Linked DNA regions of Bombyx mori. Each later gene encodes a partner of the first gene's protein in a complex. Links are inferred from orthologs where the notes say so. Each region holds a gene or a part of one and is shown in the gene's direction. Other genes may lie near its edges. The genes, in order: disks large 1 tumor suppressor protein and G-protein-signaling modulator 2.

Region 1 (3,833 bases):
TGTGGCCCATTTCGAATTTTTTCAATTAAAACATTAATTGTTTTAAACTTTCTCCATCTCACTATACACACTATTATTTAACGTGTTCTTGGAATGATTGCATTTTTTCCTACCCAATCGTTTGTAGCTTAAGAGACTATTCCAATTACGCGTGGACCGGTACGTGATCTTCACGGGCTCAACCCGCAAGAATTGCTAACATTGACCCTATCAAGAGTAGTACTTCGCTGAATCTACCACCGAATTGGAATCGCGGTCCACTGAGAAGGTCCGGAGAGATTTTCAGTGGCTTGTGTCTATGGGCTAGTTAGCCGACGACGATGCCTGTTGCTTGGAGAGCCTAAAAGCACCGAGAGCGGATTCGGAGTATCCGACAAGACATGATAAGTAATTAGATGACTACGATAAAAAAGTTATCGTGTCGTGCCGCTTTATCAAAGTAGCGTTCTGATGCATCCTTAAGATACTCACACATCATTTCTAGATTTTGGCTGTCGTTAAGATGACCTGGAGATTGTGTGCACGAGCCGCGTGAACGAACATTACACTTGCATAGGTCATGGCGGAATGATTTCACATTTCTTGAGTTCTCAACACTTAATTTACCCGTGATCATGCAACAGCGCCGTAAATTAATAACTTTTTTAACTATGTGTTTTGTATGATACTAGAATGCAGAGCAAAATATTAATAAGAGATATGTAATTATTTTTCTAGAGCACGGGTCAAATTGTTAAATTGACTGTTGTGTATCGTCCACAAGAATACAATAAGTTTGAAGCACGAATCAATGAATTGAAACAACATCATACGCTATTACGGACATCTCAAAAACGATCCTTGTATGTAAGGTAGGTTATGAAAAAAATAACGAAAACCATGTAATAAAATTGTGTAATGTGTGTGATCATACTTATATTGTTAATAGCATAGAAACTCTGTGGTTGTGGGCCTTTTGAGGTAAAAACTTTCTGAGTTTACGGGAGAGTAATGGGAAAACGTGCAGTAGAAAAGTCAATCATATGTGCCTATTTAATACACTTTTAACTGGTAGTTTTATTGAGATAAAGAATGAGTTAGATCAATAATTTTATTTACTTTTAATTTTAGATATGATATGTTTTCTGAAGAGAAGCTTTTCCATTTTCCTGTTCTATGGATCTGCAGGCCGTGTATCTAACTAACTTTTGTATTTTTGTACCCACTTCAGGGAATTTGTTAGCATAGTACACTATTTGTTACAATAAATGGATGTATTTCAAACATATCACATTTATCCACAAGGGATCATGACAGATCCATCTGTAATATAGGTTGATAAGTGGTCTTCGTGGTTTTCATAAAGTTTCATAGTGTTAGTGCTTTCATTGTGTCCACGCTTTTTTAATTATGTTTGTTATCGTTTACAGAGCATTATTTGACTACGACCCCATTCGAGACGATGGTCTACCTTCGAGAGGATTGCCGTTTCGATATGGCGATATATTGCATGTTACAAATGCGTCCGATGACGAATGGTGGCAAGCCAGGTACGCTGGTTTCTTGTATAATATAGCCTAACCGATGGACTAATAAGCATCATCGCACATATTACTTATGTCATTAACTCTGTCACATTGACAACAATCCAAACTTTAAACTTTCAAACTATGTATAAAGTCAAAATACTCAGACCTTCGGAATCATGTCTCAAGGCGGGTGGTGGCATTTGTGTTGTAGATGTCTATGGGTTCCGATAGCCACTTAATACCAGGAGGGCCGTGAGTTCGTCCACCCTTTTTTTTTAATTTAGTCTGGAAATGCGTGAATGCTACACAGCAACACATACCAACTTGATTATAAATTTTAGTTTCATTTTAGAGATAGTTGTTTCAGCATCACACAAAGTCAGATGTCAATGTCACTGTTTTGCAAATTTATAAATCAATGTTCCAGAAGGCTGGGTCAGGATAAAGTGGACACCGATGCTATCGGTATAATTCCTTCGAAACGTCGATGGGAAAGAAAACAGCGGGCACGCGATCGACAAGTTAAATTCCAGGGACAGGGTACACCGGTCAGTACGGTGAGTATTTTTTGTTTTATCCTCATCCAACTCACTAGGTTGGGGTCAATGTAAATCAGTATTATATATTTTATTTATTTATTTATTAAGTTGCACCAACAAAGTGATCATCAATACAAAACATTGACAAATTGAGAAAAGTTCATGGCAGATGTCACCACAATTATAGGTGCAATCGACAGTGCATTAAAAAATTATAAAACTAAGATTTGATTACATTTGATTGATTGCTTAAGATCAATTTATATTTAATTGGGACATGATCCGCGACAGATTTTGTGAGACAATTAGAAAAAACATCTATTTCACTTAAAATTAGTTCAGCGCAATTGGATAACTCCGAAGGAACGTTGACGGAGACCGCCGCGCTACCGTGGACATTATTGTAGTCCCAAAGGATTCTGTTTAAGGGAGAGTAAGCCCCTAAATTCGAACGAGCGTTATAGTTTTATTAACTTACACTACTGGTACCTTCAAAGGTTAAATCGACGCCCAGTGGTGGATCACATACTGAAAACATACCATTTTAGCAAACCACTTGGTATGAATACACCAACAAGTAGTGTCGTTTTTAGGTCACGATTACCTCAAAATTATATTAAATTTAAAAGCAACAGAGCATGTGTTTCCTGATAGTGCAACTTGTTTAATAAAACCTATTTTATGTATTTTCTTAAGAGACACCTTGGCTGGCACGATATTCGAACTTTGTAATTTCCCAAAAATACTAATCATCAAATGATTTCTTTTTCAAGAGCCAATCCACTCTGGAAAGGAAAAAGAAAACTTTATCTTTCAGTAGAAAATTCCCATTCATGAAGAGTCGAGAAGACGGCAAATCTGAAGATGGTTCCGATCAAGAACGTAAGTCGTTTTTAAAGTATTTTCAACACATTCATATTTTTGACGGTATGAAGTTTTCATAATTATTTTTATATAAACACATTTTTTAGTCAAGAGCACAGCATTTTAAGAGAAACTATGATACATGCAACAAGTTTGTTAATTTGATGGTCAAATTAATTAATTGAAGCTTAGAAACTATAGAGCTTTATACTATAAAAACCATGTACAATTTTGCACTACTAACATGGGATTTCGACTCATCGGCTCCCACTTATAATCGCTTGGGTACACTAATTTATACTCTCACTGTGAAAATTTGGCAAGGAAAATTTTAAATTTTATGTGAACGCGAATTAAAAATTATTGAAATTAAATTTCCTAATGTAAGTTAAAAACATCTAAACAACTAAAAATAGTTAATAGATCGTTCATCAACGAAGCTGTTTAGCTCGTGCCGCATATTATACGACCTGTACCGTTCGTCCTCTTCTAACGTTCGCGCGAGAAAGAGAAAGTATTATACTTTATAATATGCGACGGGCTAAAAAAAAAACTAATAATACAATTTGTTACAGCTTTCATGCTTTGTTACACGCAGGAGGACGCTAACGCTGACGGTAAGTGCACCATGTCCGCCCTCGATCATATATATATTTGCCATTTTGCTATTAAATGTATGTAGGTCATTACGCAGTTTTTATTTCGTGCGGCCGCTAACAACCAATCTGTCTGAAGTTGGGTTGTCTTTACATTAAAGCTATGCTTTACCTAACAACGATTGAGTCTTAAAAGACGAACTGTTTTAGTCAAATGTATTTTCTTATTTTATTTCAATTAATTTACATTTAACTCTTCGTACAACTCACAATTATATTATTATGGCTAATGTTAAATAAAATTATTATTATTTTTGGTTTATCGA
Region 2 (3,833 bases), on another chromosome or scaffold:
TTTCTTTCGTATTTTCATGGGATATAATAAAACACGAGCGTAATGTCGGATCATCAAATAGTATTGATACTTCTCCTTAATTGCAAATCTGTGTGGATCAGATCATTGAATTTCGCCGCGGCCGTGTCGCTGCACGCATTTGGAATGCATTTTCTTTCGTCTATTTTAATTACTTCAGAGAGAAAGACTAACTTTACTAAGAAAGACTAACTTCCAACATTTATTGTCTACATTTTAATTAATTGTAAGTTCTTGTCGATAGTTTGTGGAAATTTAATTAAGTTTCAATAAATGAGTTTGCAGCTATGAGATCTCTGTGATTGTTTCATACTTATAACAGGAAGTTGTTTAGATTGTCCATTCACATTTATTGAAAGATTCGTAATACGAGATAAAATTTAAATGAAATGGTATTCCCATTTTGCTCGTATGTATCTATGTTTAGTTCCTTAACCTAAAGATGTAGTTGGGGAAAATTTCAACTAACACTTACTATTAAGTTGACAATTCCATTAAAATATAACTAAATTAAATTAAAATTCTGTACACATACTACACTCAGAAATTTCTGTCACATTATTAAGGTGTCACTTTATTCGCAGAACCATGAATGATAAGCTGGGCGAAGCCAAAGCTTCAGGTAATCTAGGCAACACCCTTAAAGTAATAGGAAAGTTCAATGAGGCCATACAGTGCTGCCTCCGACACCTGGAGATATCTCGCTCCCTGGGCGACAGAAATAGCGAGGGTAGAGCTCTGTACAACCTGGCCAACGTATACCATGCCCAAGGTAAACATCTGGGAAAGGTCGGACAAAACGATCCGGGACATTTTCCCCAAGAGGTGCGCGAATGCCTTTTACAAGCAGTCAACTATTATGAGTGAGTTTTCCATCAATATTTATTCTTTTATATTCATTTGTCTCCTTATTTAAAAAATTCCGGTTAAATAACAAAGTAACAGCATTGTATGTACTTGTATAATGTAGATCTCAAAAACGTAAATTTTTCTACTATTATGTTGAGTTTATATATGCCAAATGATTTTAGACAAAATTTGGTACTCATGCGTGAGCTGAACGATCGCCTAGCCATCGGTCGGGCTTGCGGCAACCTTGGAAACACTTACTACCTGCTTGGTGAATTTAATGTAGCTGTTCAGTACCACACGGAGCGACTGGAAATGGCCAAGGAATGTAAAGACAAGGCAGCCGAAAGACGCGCCCACAGCAATCTTGGAAACTCACACATTTTCCTCGGGCAGTTTGAGAACGCGGCCGATCATTACAAGTGAGTTTGAATACCGTGGTAGGTGACGGCGAATGTGAAACCGAAACTCCTAACGAGATTATTACAGCCATGTATCCTGTTACGTTGTTTGATATTAGTTTGGACTGCAGCGCGCGAAATTCGTGTGTTTTGTTCAGTGCAGGACTCCTCGACAGATGTATCACATGAAACTGTATCTAGCGTCATACGTAAATTTTAGTGAGTACAATTAGTTATTGTGCAAGTTGATTTATGAATTCGTACTTTTAATGATCATTTGTAACGAGTGGCGACATAATTATATAAAGAAGTGACTAGCTCATTAGCTAAATCTTACACAGCATGTAAAATAATGTTTGCACATAGCAACGCTGCCGGCTACTTGCGCGATTCCTTGCCGATTGATTTATTTGTTTAATGTTTTGTTAATTTTAATTTTGTTTATGTTTGTGTGAGATACATATTTTGCTTTGCGTTTTTGTGCTGTGCTCGTCCTCTCCACAACTCAGTCAGGTGACTCTCGATGATCGTCAATAAATTGTTCTCAGACAGACTTTGGCGATTGCCGAAGAATTAAAAGACGAAGCGGTGGTCGCACAAGCCTGCTACTCCTTAGGGAATACGTACACGTTACTCCGGGAGTATAGAATTGCGGAAGAGTACCATGCTAGGCACCTGGAGGCGGCCAGGAAGCTTCAGGATCGAGTTGGCGAAGGCAGGGCCTGTTGGTCTCTGGGCAACGCCCACGCGGCTCTCGGCAACCACGAGAAAGCATTGTATTATGCCATTGAACATTATACCATATCGAAAGAGGTCAGTAATATCAGTTACCCACTCGTTTTAATGTTTTTGCCTTGTTCATATATTCAGGAATACGTTCACATCGCACATAAGTAATTCGCATAATGTATTTCCGAAATGAGGACGTCCACTGTCCAGTGTCTCCTTACGTATTTTCCGAACGAATTTGCGAACCATCCACAGTATGAAATTATAGTGTTGCAGTTTCCATTAAAGTTATTTAGTGCATAGCGAGAGGCTAGGTGGCGTTCGGTTCCGGCGGGGCCCGGGTCCCGGGGGGTCGGGCCGGGGTGCGCGCGGCCGGGGGCGGTTGCTCAGTGGTCTCACAGCGCTGCACAGCGCGGTCCGCGACTCATCGCGCGCTTTACCTACACTCTTCTCTAGCGGGAAAACTTCGCAATACTTACGTTCGAAATCGTCAACGGCTTTTCATATTTTTCACTAATGTAAGTGCGGAATTGAAAGAAAAAATAAAGAACAAGTGTAATTAATAATTAAAGGCAAATTAAATTATAATTTCGATATAGTTAATTTTTTTTTTTAATAATAATGAGTGATCGCGTACGGCTAACTATAAAAAAAAATATAATAATAATTTGATAATCGCAACTTTTCTGTGTGCCATAATTTTCTTCTAACATGTTTGCTTGAAAGAGGTCATACCAACCATAAGTTTTACTATTTGTCAAATTATGGTTTGATTTTTGAAACGACGGCTCATCTGTTATTAAGTGGTTACCACAGCCGATATGCTTATCGCACAACATGAATACCGCGACCCATCTTGGGACATGAGGCCGAAAACTCAACTGCATTAGATAAAGGTTGACCCACGCAAAACTAGAACCCATTACTGCTCCGCGGAAAAAATAGGCAGGTTGGTGAGTCTTACCTGTGCGTGCTCACAAGTCGCTCGGTGGTGAGGTGTCTTACAATTATTTGTTCTCGTACACACACGTATCGAAACATAATAAATAATAAAACATTAAAAAAAATGTAGTAAAAAAATTGTTTAAGTAATTTTTACCTTTGACGAAAATTTAACTTTATATCGTACATATAAATATTAAATTATTTAGACATTAGAGGGAAATAATCTAATATTCATAATTTTAAATTAATATTAGTTCTCTCATATTGTACTAGGAAATCGATGCGGCTATTTTCGAATAAGGTTTCTTTAAATAATAAAGCTAATAGTTAACTCCAAGAAAAAGACAACAAACTATATAAGTAATTCCTTAAGACTGCATCGAGAATAGTCATAATGTTACAACATTACTGAGCTGTGCAATCATGTAATTATTGTAAGTTTGAAATAGAAATTAAAAATATCGCTATTCTTATACAGGAAGTGTCTCAGTAGAGCAGCTTAGTTTTAACATTTATAGCTATGAAAGTTAAGATCTAACAGCGGTGTCTCCTCATTACCACGGCACGCTTTGAAGACACTCCCTCTTCTCCTGAACAGCTTATTGACGACGTTACATTCAAAGGAAAGGTTGTAAAATTTTCCGAGCAATTGAAATGTGGGCGACAAATCGTGATTCGTTCCGGGAGTACTAATACTTTGATGTGCGTTTGGATTCGGCGACAATCATCGGAGTCGTTTGTCAGTCGATACAGGCCGCGGTCGCGCTTGTACCGTTCTATGCTCGTATTGGAACTCTTCAAAGCATACACATACATCAATCATATTACGTTATTGAAACTTTACTTGAGATATAATTAAATAAATAAACAATTTTATATGTCCATGTGTAT

The links.
Region 2: the proteins of disks large 1 tumor suppressor protein (region 1) and G-protein-signaling modulator 2 are in contact, whole or in part, in a crystal structure (PDB 3TVT), measured with the Drosophila melanogaster proteins. The link is inferred for Bombyx mori from reciprocal best matches to the Drosophila melanogaster genes dlg1 and pins. Residues at the interface, in NP_996406.1 of Drosophila melanogaster: Cys808, Val809, Pro810, Arg814, Arg817, Arg824, Asp825, Tyr826, Ile839, His842, Phe844, Ile845, Glu846, Ala847, Gly848, Gln849, Tyr850, Tyr855, Ser877, Asn879, Arg883; in NP_524999.2 of Drosophila melanogaster: Arg434, Met437, Gln439, Leu440, Asp441, Leu442, Ile443, Lys444, Ile445, Thr446, Pro447.

The regions. Positions count from the first base shown.
Region 1 is NC_085118.1:7,814,327-7,818,159, reverse strand, and holds part of disks large 1 tumor suppressor protein, read left to right. Parts: intron 1-717; coding exon 718-851; intron 852-1,409; coding exon 1,410-1,529; intron 1,530-1,935; coding exon 1,936-2,065; intron 2,066-2,820; coding exon 2,821-2,929; intron 2,930-3,486; coding exon 3,487-3,528; intron 3,529-3,833. UniProt on the Drosophila melanogaster protein: During embryonic development, some isoforms are essential for proper neuronal differentiation and organization. Required for cell polarity; maintenance of apicobasal polarity.
Region 2 is NC_085107.1:20,243,420-20,247,252, forward strand, and holds part of G-protein-signaling modulator 2, read left to right. Parts: intron 1-602; coding exon 603-881; intron 882-1,049; coding exon 1,050-1,289; intron 1,290-1,816; coding exon 1,817-2,081; intron 2,082-3,833.